3 linked regions of the Canis lupus familiaris genome follow. The protein of the gene in region 2 interacts with the protein of the main gene of each other region in a biochemical or structural test. Links are inferred from orthologs where the notes say so. Each region holds a gene or a part of one and is shown on either strand. Other genes may lie near its edges.

Region 1 (4,102 bases), on a different chromosome or scaffold from region 2:
ATAAATCTGAGTTAAAAAAAAAAAAAAAGAACCAAAAAAGGTACTACATTTTCTTTGTGTAATAAAAACCGCTGAGTTGTGCTGTTTTCATAAGACTTTTGAAGTGGTCTTGACCCAGTTTGTGTAACAGTATTACAGGTGGTCTTCCTATAATTGAACTATTTACCATCCCTGTTCTTGAGAGCTTAAGGATTTGCTTACTCAAGGTCACTTGGTGGTTGGTAAACATTGACCTTTTGCTTCCTGTGAGACATCATAAACCTACTAAGATGTAGAGTAGGTGCTGGCCAAAATAGTGGAGGTTATACATTTATTTCTGAGTAGAATGCTACGCTCACTCACATGAGAAAGGGCAGAGGTAAGGTCTAGCTTTGTAGTCACTTGAAGCAAAAAGGGTTTTTTTTTTTTTTTTTTTTTCTTCCTGAATATAACTGCTCTGCTACGGGCTAAAAGAACCTAACTTGCAGGTTCAGTAGTTGAGCGATGGAATTTGATGTTTGCTTTCACTGTTGACCAGTAACACCATTTTGGAAATTGAGCTTCCCAAATGAGCTTTAGTTTATAAACTCTGAACATGTCAAAAATGTTTAGTAAATCTTTTCTACCAACATCACTTTTTTTTCTTACTCCTTTTTTCTCAATGCTGTCGCCTGCAACAGTCATACAGTCACTCATGCTAAGTAGAATTTGAATAAAGCTAACATTAGCATAAATATACTGTTTGACCTCTTCCCCTACTGCTTATTGAAGCTGTGGCATGATTCGGTGTTTTGAACCAGTATGTTTCAGCTGTGAAATGCACTCGCTGTAAGCCCTGAGCTGAGTGCATGGAAACTGTTACGCTTCTCATTTTATGTGATCTCCTAATTGGTATGTAGCAAAAATAGTTTTCTAAAACTGTTTTGTTGCTTGTTTTTGTAATAAAACCATGTGAAATACTGAAATATGGTGTGTGTTTTCCTAACGCTGACCTTCTGTTGGTGAGTGGGTGATCTCTCTTGTCAGTCTGCCCCATTACTGGTTTTCTGGACCTCTCGAAGTGGGTGCCTGCAAGGGGGGGAGAGCTGGGGACCTCCCTTCATGGCAAGAGGGGGAGCTGGCGCTGGGGCGGGGTGGGGGGGACGGGTGGTGTGTGTGTGTATGGAGGTCGGCCAGGCTCTGCCCCTTAAAGCCCGGGGGCTGACGGAGGCGGCATCCTCCGGGAGAGGGAGGCTCTTTTTAGAGCCGTGGCGGGTCCAGAGGAACCGGAGAGCGTGGAAGAAAGGGCGCAGGATGACCAGACCGCCGCCGCCCGCTGCGCTGGGACCGCTTCTCCTGCTGTGGCTGCTGCCGGCCTCGCTGCCCGTGCCGGGGGTCGAGGCTAGCAGGTCGAGGCCCCCGCTGCGCTGTCCCGCGGCCTGCGAGCCCACGCGCTGCCCCCCGCTGCCCGCCTGCTCCGCGGGGTCGTCGCCGGTGCTCGACGGCTGCCGCTGCTGCCGCGTGTGCGCGGCGGCCGAGGGCGAGGCGTGCGGCGGGGCCGCGGTCCGGCCGTGCGCTCCGGGGCTGCGGTGCGGCGCGCGGCCCGGGGCCCGGCGTCTCCGCGGCGCCCGGGGGGGCACGTGCGGCTGCCCGGCGGCGGGGGCGGCGGTGTGCGGCAGCGACGGGCGCACCTACCCCAGCCTGTGCGAGCTGCGCGCCCAGAACCGCGCGGCGCGTCTCCGGGGCGCGCTCCCGGCCGTGCCGGTGCTGAAGGGCGACTGCGCGGGGCGAGGTGAGCGCCGCCCGCGGCTCGGGGTGCTCGCAGCTCCCGCCGGCGCCTTTGCCTCCGGAGTCAACTACGCGTTCCCAGTTTTCTCTCCTTCTTAGGTGTCGCCTTACCAGTGCCTGCGTGGTTTCTCCCCGCTTGCCTCCCCGGGCCTGTTAAATACCATCTCCCCCCCTCCCTTTTTTCCTCTTACCCACCCGGGATAACAGGTGTAGTTCCCTCAAGGCGCATCCTTCCGAGTTAAGAGGCCCTTAGCTCTCAACTCTGCAGCGAATAGAGGGGGAGCCCGACGGGAGGAGCGGGAGGGAAAGGGGAGCGGAGTTGGGGAGAGACCCGGAGAGCTTGCATAGGGCGCCCGGCGCACTCAGGCCCCCAGGAACCAAGCATTTCTTCCCAGAGGCCTGGAGTGTCGGCCGGCTCCGGAGCCAGTACAACTTCCTCGCGGCGGTGGTGGAGAAGGTGGCGCCCTCCGTGGTGCACCTGCAGCTGTTCCGCAGGTAAGGGAGGCAGGAGGCCGCCCGCCCGCCTACCCGCGGCACCCCGCTCCAGGCCCCCACCCCCGCGGCGCAGGCGGCGCTGAGTCCTAAAACCCGCTGCGAGGAAATCGCGGCCCTAACAGGCTGGATAATCCGTTCGCGGAGGTTTAGCCAAAGAGCGGAAGCGTAGGGATTGCGACCACCAGGTCCGGGCTACTCCTCTGCACTTAGGAGCGTGGGGTTTCTCTCTCCCTCAACTCCCACGACATAACTGAAGGTCAGATGTAGGAGCTAGAAGGCACCCCCATGGTGATCTTGCTCGGGGGGGGGGGGGGGGCTCGTTTTCATGGAAGGAAATCCGATGTCACGAAGCCACTTGGTGGTGGAACCTAAGCGGGAACCAGCCTTCTTCCACTTCCTACCTGCCTGGGTCCTCAATAATGTAGCACTGGGTGCACGTTTGCTCTCAGGAGTGTGATTAGGGTAGGCCTCTCTGAAGCAGAGGGGTGCTGCTCTGACCAGCACTGGAGAAGGAGGCGAGGGGGGTTGTCCCTGGAAAAGGAAAGTTGGCATCAGCTCTCTGTTCTGCTCCTAAGAGGTAGCCAGGGTACTGAACATGAGGAGTCTAAGTACTCGTGCAGGGAATGAAAACACAGACAGGGGGCACCTGGGTGGCTCAATGGTTGAGCCCCTGCCTTTGGCTCAGGGTGTGATCCCAGGGTCCTGGTATGGAGTTCCCCATAGGGAGCCTGCTTCTCCCTCTGCCTATGTCTCTGTGCCTCTCATGAATAAATAAATAAAATCTTAAAAAATAAAAATAAAAAAACTCAGACGGGATAGTAAAATGTCTGAGAAAACTGTGGTGGAGGTGTGTTTGATCAATGAGAGGTTCCCATGTCCCCAGACTGTGATGGATCCCCTGATTTTCCTGCCTTCTGCTTATGCTGTTGTCTTGTGGGGACAGGTCACCTCTTAGCAGCAAGGATATGCCTGCATCCAGCGGCTCTGGGTTCATAGTGTCTGAGGATGGGCTCATTGTTACCAACGCCCACGTAATCACCAACCAGCAGCGGATCCAGGTGGAGCTCCAGAGTGGGGTCCAGTATGAAGCCACTATCAAGGACATTGACCATAAATTGGATCTTGCGCTGATTAAGATTGAGCCAAATGTGAGTGTGCAAGGGCCAAATCAGTCTGTAAATCTGGAGATTTTCATCAGTTTGCTGCCATTTCCCTCACTGCCCAATTCCCACACATCTTTTTTTTTTTTTTAACTTGGTATATGTTCTTTGCTAAATTTCCTTTTTCCCTATTTTCCACTCTTATTTTCTTTTATGCCTGTTTGTATGTCCCTAACAATTTCTATTAACTATCCAGCCTCCTTTACCTCCTCCTTCAATAGCTGCTGCTGCTGGGAAACCTCTCTCTGCTTGCCTTAGAATACTAGGACTGATTACAATGGATTCAAGGATGCTAAGGAATACTTTGAGGTCCTTGCTGCACAGTGTGGTCTGCACAACAGCAGCATTGACATTATCTGAGAATCTTAAAAAATGTACAATCTAAGATCCCACCCTGGTCTACTGAGTCAGAATCTGCATTTTAATAAGATCCCTGAGTGATTCAAGCACACATTAAAGTTTGAGAAGCACTGCTCTGGGCCATCTCCTTTCTGTTTGTGGTTTGATTTTGACTATAGAATTCTGAGCTGGTATAGTGCTAAGTGAGTTGCTAATATCAGTGGTATGTTCACCAGCTACTTCACTGCTGGCTTAGTTATAGGAATTTCTACAAAGCAATAATTTTAGACTTTAGAGATGATCCTGATCATCTTATGGAGTGACAGTTGGTGGTTGCTGGGATTTGAGGAAGAAGCATTAGG
Region 2 (3,406 bases):
TCTCCATAACACACTAAATTACCTTTATCGTTACACTCTAATATAATTTCCTGTCTATTTGTGTTTCCTACTTGTTTATGCACGATTAGGGACCTGGGGCCTATATATTTGTTAATTGTATCTCCAGTTCCTAGAACTTAGTTAAGTATTCAGTAAATATTTGTTGAATAAAAGTCAACCACTGTTCCCAAACTTGTTTTGAAAACAGTGTTCCCCAGATGTTAAAAAGGGATGCCATGAAAAAGGACCAAAAAAACAAAAAAAAAAAGAAAGAAAGAAAAAGAAAGAGGAACTCTGTAGTTAAATAGGGACATGCATTGTGACTTTCTAAGAGGGGACATACACTGTACTGTATTGACCTGTACTTTACAGCACTGGTTGCCAAATACCAGTGTGTGCCATCTCAGAAATTATTGCTGTTGTTGTTGCTGTATAAAACCATATCTTCTTTATTTTGCATACTGTAATTTCAGAACAACAACAACAACAACAAAAAACAACCCTAGAAATTTTAGATTTAGTGAGTGGGACCTAGTCATTTATCATTTAAAAGAATGCCTCAAGTGCGCCTGAGTTGCTCAATCATTTAAGCACCTGTCTCCTGGTTTGGGCTCTGGTCATGATCTCATGGCTCAGCAGTTAGTCTGCTGAGATTTTCTTCTGGGATCCCTGGATGACTCAAGCAGTGGAGTATCTGCCTTCAGCTAAGAGCATGATCCTGGAGTCCCGGGATTGAGTCCTGTCTCGGGCTCCCTGCATGGAGCTTGCTTCTCCCTCTGCCTGTGTCTCTCATGAATAAATAGATAAAATCTAAAAAAAAAAAAAAGATTCTCTTCTGCTGCCCCTCTTTCTTACATAGATAAATAAATCTTTTTTAAAAATGCCCCAAGTGATTCCCATGTGAGACCAGATTTGGAAACCACTGGCCTACAAAGATTGTTAAAATATATAATGCCTCTGGAATAGTGCCTGGCACATAGTAGTAAGTGCTGTGTTACTGTTAACTGCTGCCATTGTTGATGATGTTGTCATTATACTTTTGTTTTTTTAAGCAGGCTCCACACCCAGAGTGGAGCTCAACACAGGGCTTGAACTCACAACCCTGAGATCAAGAGTCAGGTGCTTAACTGACTGAACTGCCCAGGCGCCCTTGTTATTAGAGTTCTTTTTCACCACGAAACACACTTCTGTGATATGTTTGTTAACACGTCACAAAACCTAGTTTGAGAAAGGCTGAATTAAGCAAGTGCTTTAGTGCCACCTATATGCTAATGTCACCCAAATCTCTGTCTCTAGCCTTAACTACTTCTGACCTCAAGACGTGACTGTCCAATGACATTTACATATAGATGCCCTGCAAACACCTCAAAAACAACTTGAGGGCAGCCCGGGTGGCTCAGCAGTTTAGTGCCACCATCAGCCTAGGGTGTGATCCTGGAGACCCAGGATCGAGACCCACGTCAGGCTCCCTGCATGGAGTCTGCTTCTCCCTCTGCCTGTGTCTCTCCCTCTCTTTTTCTCTGTGTCTCTCATGAATAAATAAATAAAATCTTAAAAAGAAAACTTGAAAATGCCAAACCAGTACCTCCTATATTTCTTTTTGGCATCACCATCCTCTTGTCAGCCACTAGAAATCTTAAAATCAACTCTTGTTTCCCTCACCTCTCACATCTAATCAGTCCCCAAATCCTAGTAGTCCCGCCTCAGAAGTGTCCCTCAGATCCATCCCTCTGTATCTGGAGTAAGCCATGCCCTTCCCATATGTCACTTCTTTTACCTAATCCTTGCTTCTCAGCCTGGTAAGTTGCTGGCCATGTTTGTTTATTTACTTATCTATTTATTTTAAAGATTATTTACTTATTCATGAGAGAGACACAGAGAGGCAGAGACACAGGCAGAGGGAGAAGCAGACTCCATGCAGGGAGCCCTATGTGGGACTCGATCCCAGAAGTCCAGGATCACACCCTGAGCTGAAGGCAGTTGCACAACCACTTGAGCCACCCAGGCTGCCCAGAAGAGAATCTTCAAGCAGACTAACCACTGAGCCATCCAGGCGTCCCCTGTTGGCCATGTTTAAATGTCACTCCTAGGGACGCCTGGGTGGCTCAGTGGTTGCGCGACGGCCTTCGGCCCAGGGTGACATCCTGGGATCCCGGATCAAGACCCACATCGGGCTCCTTGCATGGAGCCTGCTTCTCCCTCTGCCTGTGTCTCTGCCTCTCTCTCTGTGTCTCTCTCATGAATAACTAAATAAAAGCTTATAAATAAATAAATGTCACTCCTCCACTTCCCCTGGCCCCCTGCCCTGCAGCTGCCAGCCTGTGAAGCCTTCCCCAACTCATCTGAACAGAAGAACTTGTTCTCTCAACTCATCCCCGAGCACTTTGTACGTAACTTTATGATAACACTTATCACTTTGTACTTTGTGCTTCCCCCACAGCCTCAGCTCACGCCCTCCTCTCTAGCCTGCAAGCTACTGAAGAGCAGGTGTCACGTGTGACTCATCCTGTCTCCCAGGCCTTGATTAGCACCTGGCACATAGTAGGGGTTCTCGTTGTTTCAATGCATTTCAACAACTAAGAAAGTCTAAAATTAACACATTTCTTTTCTCTTTGTGCAGAGATTAGTGCTGAAGAGCAGCTCAGACTCCTGCAAGAGGAAAAGCTTTGCAAAATCTGTATGGATAGAAATATTGCTGTGGTTTTCATTCCTTGCGGACATCTGGTCACTTGTAAACAATGTGCTGAAGCAGTTGACAAATGTCCCATGTGCTATACAGTCATTACTTTCAAGCAAAAAATTTTTATGTCTTAATCTCACTCTACAGTTAGGCGCATTATGTTCTTCTCGTTACCCTGATTGAGTGTGTGATGTGAACCGACTTTAATTAGCATCGAATGCCATTAGCATTTGCTACCAAGTAGACAAAATGTAAACTACAGTGCTCTTGTTTGTAATCTAAAATTTGAATTTCTGGATTTGGGGGGACATTAGCGATGTTATATATCTTTTTTTTTACTCAATTGAAATCTAGACTAAGAAGCATCATATTGTAATTGATCACAATGTGTATTTGTATTTGTACTACACTAACTTAGTTTCTAAGTGTGAGTTAACTGAATTTTTCATCCTTTTCATATAGGCTTAACAAATGGAGCATTCTGTGTAAACGTGGAGATTAGAATTAATCTCCCCAATCTCATAATTTGTTTTGTGTGAAAAGGAATGAACTGTTCCACACTGGTGGAAAGATACCGATTATTTTTAGATGTTTGTTTTTGTGTTTTAGGATTTTGTCCATTCTCTTTTAAAATTATACACATGTGCTTCGGTGGGTGATTTTTAAAAATGATTTTGCCATTGTTAAAAGGGTATTAATGGAGTACCATGATGGTACTCTATCATG
Region 3 (4,323 bases), on a different chromosome or scaffold from region 2:
AGGATGGAAGCCACTCAAGTGTCCATTGACAGATGAATAAACAAAATGTGTTCCATCCATAAAGTGGAATATTATTCAGCCCTAAAAAGGAAATTTTGACATATGTGACAATGTGGATGAACCTTGAGGACACTATGCTAGGTGAAATAAGCCTGTCTCAAAAGAACAAATACTGTGTGATTCTACTTACATGAGGTCCCTAGACTTGTCAAATCCAAAAGACAGAAAAGGGAATAGTGAGTACCATGGGCTGGGGGAGTCAGGGAGTCAGTATTCAATAGGGACAGAGTGTCACTTTGGGAAGATTTAGGTTCTGGAGCTGGTTGGTGGTGGTGGTGGTTGCACAACAGTGTGAATGTACTTCATGCCACAGAACTATATGCTTAAAACTGGTTAAGATAGTGGGGCAGCACCTGGCTGGCTCAGTCAGTAGAACATGGACCCTTCACATCAGGGTTGTAAGTTTGAGCCCCATCTTGGGTGTAGATTACTTAAAAAAAAATTTTTTTTTTAATGGTTAAGACAGGACACCTGGGTGGCTCAGCGGTTAAGCATCTGCCTTTGGCTCAGGGCGTGATCCTTGGGTCCCAGGATGGAGTGTCACCTTGGGCTCCCTGCACGGAGCCTGCTTCTCCCTCTGCCTATGTCTCTGCCTCTGTCTCTCTCTCTCTGTCATGAATAAATAAATAAAATCTTTTTAAAAAATGGTTAAGACAGTAAATTTTGTTACATGTGTTTTACCACAGTAAAAACAAACCCTGCAGAGGTTTCCCAGTTCACTTAAACTAGAATCCTGAATTCTATCCATAAGGCTCTCCCGCCTCCCAGCTCCTTGCAGCTTCGAGGCTGGGACTCCCTCCAGTACCCCTCTCCAAGGAGTGCTGTGGTCTCGCCCGTCGTCTCACACACCCACGCGCACACACTGAGACCGGGTCACACAAGCCAGTACACACGCTCTCCACACACACGCCCCGGCCCTGTCTCTCACACATAGTCCCGTCGCGCGCGCGCACACACACACACACACACTCGCCCATGGCCCGTCGCGCGCACACACGTTCATACACACTGGCGCCGCGGCCTCGTCTCCCTCACACACACACGCCCTCCGCCAGCTCAGGTGCCCCCGTTGTGCCCTGGAAGGCGGCTCCACACGCGCAGCGCCACGCCAACCGGAGACGCCGCGCGTAACGTCGCCGCTCGAAGGCAGGACTGACCTGCCCCAGGGACTTCAGCACGGAATCTGGGAAAAGGCCTCAGAACCGTCGCACCGTACGCCTCTTCCACTTTGTTCCCGGAAGCTGTCCACCCCTGGCCAGGAAGTTCCCCTCCAGCCCCCGCCCCGCTGGCCCTGGGGGCGGGACTTCCGTCCCCGCGCGGCCGGCCGGCCGGAAGCGGACCCCTGAGGAATCGTGTCCCTCGGGGCGCGCCGTCCAGCCGTGAGTTCCTGCGCGGGGTCGGCGCGGGGTCGGCGCGGGACGGGCGGGCATGGCGTTCCGACAGGCGCTGCAGCTAGCGGCCTGCGGCCTGGCCGGGGGCTCGGCAGCTGTGCTCTTCTCCGCCGTGGCGGTGGGGAAGCCCCGCGCGGGCGGGGACGCGGAGCCGCGCGTGGTCGAGGCGCCGGCGTGGGCGGGGACCGCGCGTCCCGGGCCGGGCGTCTGGGACCCCAACTGGGACAGGTGCGGGGCCGCGGTGGCGTCGGGCGCGGGGCCGGTGGGCGGCAGGGCCTTGGGTCCGTGGGGGTCGGCTCCGCAGAGGGCAGGCGGGGCGGGCCCGCGGGTGGACGTCTCTCCCGGATGTGGCCGCGCGGCTGGCCGTGATGGCGGACGCCCTGGACGACAGCGGTGCCGGGGACAGCGCGCGGCCCAGACTCGGGCTGTCAGCCGGGAGCCCTCGGATTGGACGATGCCTAAGGGCGGAGAGCAGGGTGGGTGTGGGGCCCTCAGTGCTGGCCTGGGCCTCGAAGGAGCCTCTCTGCTGGAAGACGGGCGAGGACACGTGGGACAGGAACGTGCGCCTCCGGGTCTTGTCATGCGTGGCCACACGCGTGCTTATGGGGCACCTGGGAAGTGGCGCCTCTGATCAGGAAACACTTTTTAGTGTTGTTTGATGTTAACGAATTCGAGTTTAAAAACCAAACAGTGCAGGTTTTTTATGCTGTTTCTGTGTCGCAATGATAGTATTGTTGATACGTTGGATTCAATAAAGTGGATTTTTGTAATTTCACCTGTCCCTTTCTTTTTAAATGTAGGCTCTTTGGAAATTTAAAAGTACGTCTGTTGCTGGTGGTGTGCTTCTTATCGGACGGCTCTGCTCTGGAGTCTGGGAGTGGTCATTGTGGGATGGTTCACCCAATCCCAACTCCTTACTACTTTACTCTGAACGAGGGGCACAGAACTAGTATTTACTGTCAGCCTCGTTTTATCAGGAACTGCATAGGTATTCTTTGTTTTAAACCTTTAATTTAAAAAAACGTTCGAATAGTTTTAGATTTACAGAAAAATCGGAAAGCTACTAAGAGTTATACTCCACCCCTGATTTTGTCTACTGCTAAGGCTACTGTCCTTGTAATACTGGTATGGTGTATTGGCCACAATCAGTGAACTAATATCTGTTTGTTATTATTGACTGACATTCATACTTCGAGATTTCCTCAGTTTTCAGCTATTGTCTGTTGTCTCTTCCAGGATCCCACCTGACAATTAGTCGTGTTTCCTCAGGCTTCTCTTGGGTGTGACAGTTTCTCAGACTGTCCTTGTTTTGATTACTTTGACAGTTTTGAATATTGATAATCAGGAATTTTAAAGACTGCCCCTCTGTTGGGATTTGTCTGTTTTTCTCATGATTCAGTCAAGGGTCATATTCTCTTTTTCAAATTTCATACAGTCTTCTGAATTTCTTTTTAAGGAAACAGATTCATTGTGAGAATAAAGTATGTATTTGAAGCAGCACTGGATTCTAGCTCTGTTGGTGGAAGCTGACACACTGTATTTGCTCACCAAGTCCGGGTTTATGAAGGAGGAGGGTGTGCTGGAAAGTTCTAGAGCCTCATCTGATGAAATGTCCAGCCTCTTCCTGGAGAATTTCATCCAGTCTAGGCTTCCTATGTGTGTGCCTGTAGTCCCCATGTGTCATCCCTGGCTCAGCCCTGGACTCCTGTGTGGCATCTCAGCCTCTTTGTATTAGGGCACCCTAGGCTCGCCCAGCAGGACCCCTGAGCTGCCACTGCTCTCCTCCGAACTTACCCTGCCACCATTTTGTCCCAGCTGGGGATGCTCTTTTCCTAGCCCATACCACAGACCTTTAGCTTTTTCAAATTTCCGTTCTGGAAGCCACCAGACATCCCTGTCTTCCAACAACCAAATCTTAGGTTGTTTCTCGGCATCTTCACTGGTGCTGCCCCCCATCCTCACCCCCCACCACCTCTTCAGCTCCTCAACCTTCCAGGAGTGCCATCCAATAGACTTTTCATAATAATAGGAATGTTCTCTTCCTCGCTATCCAATGTGATCACCACTATCCTATGGGTTACTGACCATTTCAAATGTTCTTAGTGTGACTGGGGAAATGGAGTAATATCTTTATTATTTTGAATTTAAGTAGCCACACAGCCAGTATCTAGCATTGGACAGCACAGTTGCAGGCTCTGCTTCAACATGGCCACACTAGCTTTGTGGGCACTCCCCAGCTACCCCTTCCTGGTACCTGGTTTCGTTTTCTACACATCTCTTATCACTTGGCTGTTTTTATCAGTCTCTTTTCACTAGAACACAAGCTGCATGAGAGCTTCATTTGTCCACTTCATTCACTGATCACCCCAAACAGGCCTGGCACTCCGCTCTGGGTAAATGCGATGTGCTCTAAGAGGATGGGCTCTTAGGGGCCACAGCAGAGGGCAGAGGGTATTGTTTGTCCCTGCGCTTTCCCAAGACGGAAATACCGTCTAGTCAAAAAAACTCAATTCTGATTTGTGAGCAGAGATCACAAGGACACGCCTCTCATATTTCAACATTAGGCGAGAACCACTATCCTTGGTCAACCTGCGGAAGAGGAACCTAGACTCTGGAGAAGAAGAACTGGCGTCCAGGCTGGACCACTGCAAAGCAAAGGCCACACGACACATCTTCCTCATCAGGCACTCCCAGTACCACATGGATGCCTCCCTGGAAAAGGACCGCACTCTAACACCCCTGGGTATGTGCTGGGACTCAAGCCCCAACTGACACTTGTCCTAGTGACGCTGGGCCCCTTTGGACCTGTGTCAGGGGCTTGGCCCAGATTCAAGAATTGTCATTAACAGTGATCAGCAACCTAACTGATACA

The links. The genes of interacting proteins can lie anywhere in the genome.
Region 1: the proteins of XIAP (region 2) and HTRA4 form a complex in vitro, tested with the Homo sapiens proteins (2 studies listed by BioGRID and IntAct, with this or other methods). The link is inferred for Canis lupus familiaris from reciprocal best matches to the Homo sapiens genes XIAP and HTRA4.
Region 3: the proteins of XIAP (region 2) and PGAM5 form a complex in vitro, tested with the Homo sapiens proteins (2 studies listed by BioGRID, with this or other methods). The link is inferred for Canis lupus familiaris from reciprocal best matches to the Homo sapiens genes XIAP and PGAM5.

What each region holds. Positions count from the first base shown.
Region 1 is NC_049237.1:27,305,633-27,309,734, reverse strand, and holds the start of HTRA4 (serine protease HTRA4), read left to right. Parts: upstream 1-1,241; 5' UTR 1,242-1,272; coding exon 1,273-1,750; intron 1,751-2,141; coding exon 2,142-2,241; intron 2,242-3,184; coding exon 3,185-3,389; intron 3,390-4,102. UniProt on the Homo sapiens protein: Serine protease.
Region 2 is NC_049260.1:96,110,747-96,114,152, forward strand, and holds the end of XIAP (E3 ubiquitin-protein ligase XIAP), read left to right. Parts: intron 1-2,620; coding exon 2,621-2,814; 3' UTR 2,815-2,827; downstream 2,828-3,406.
Region 3 is NC_049247.1:429,241-433,563, reverse strand, and holds the start of PGAM5 (serine/threonine-protein phosphatase PGAM5, mitochondrial), read left to right. Parts: upstream 1-1,462; 5' UTR 1,463-1,488; coding exon 1,489-1,679; intron 1,680-2,251; coding exon 2,252-2,439; intron 2,440-3,978; coding exon 3,979-4,194; intron 4,195-4,323. UniProt on the Homo sapiens protein: Mitochondrial serine/threonine phosphatase that dephosphorylates various substrates and thus plays a role in different biological processes including cellular senescence or mitophagy. Modulates cellular senescence by regulating mitochondrial dynamics.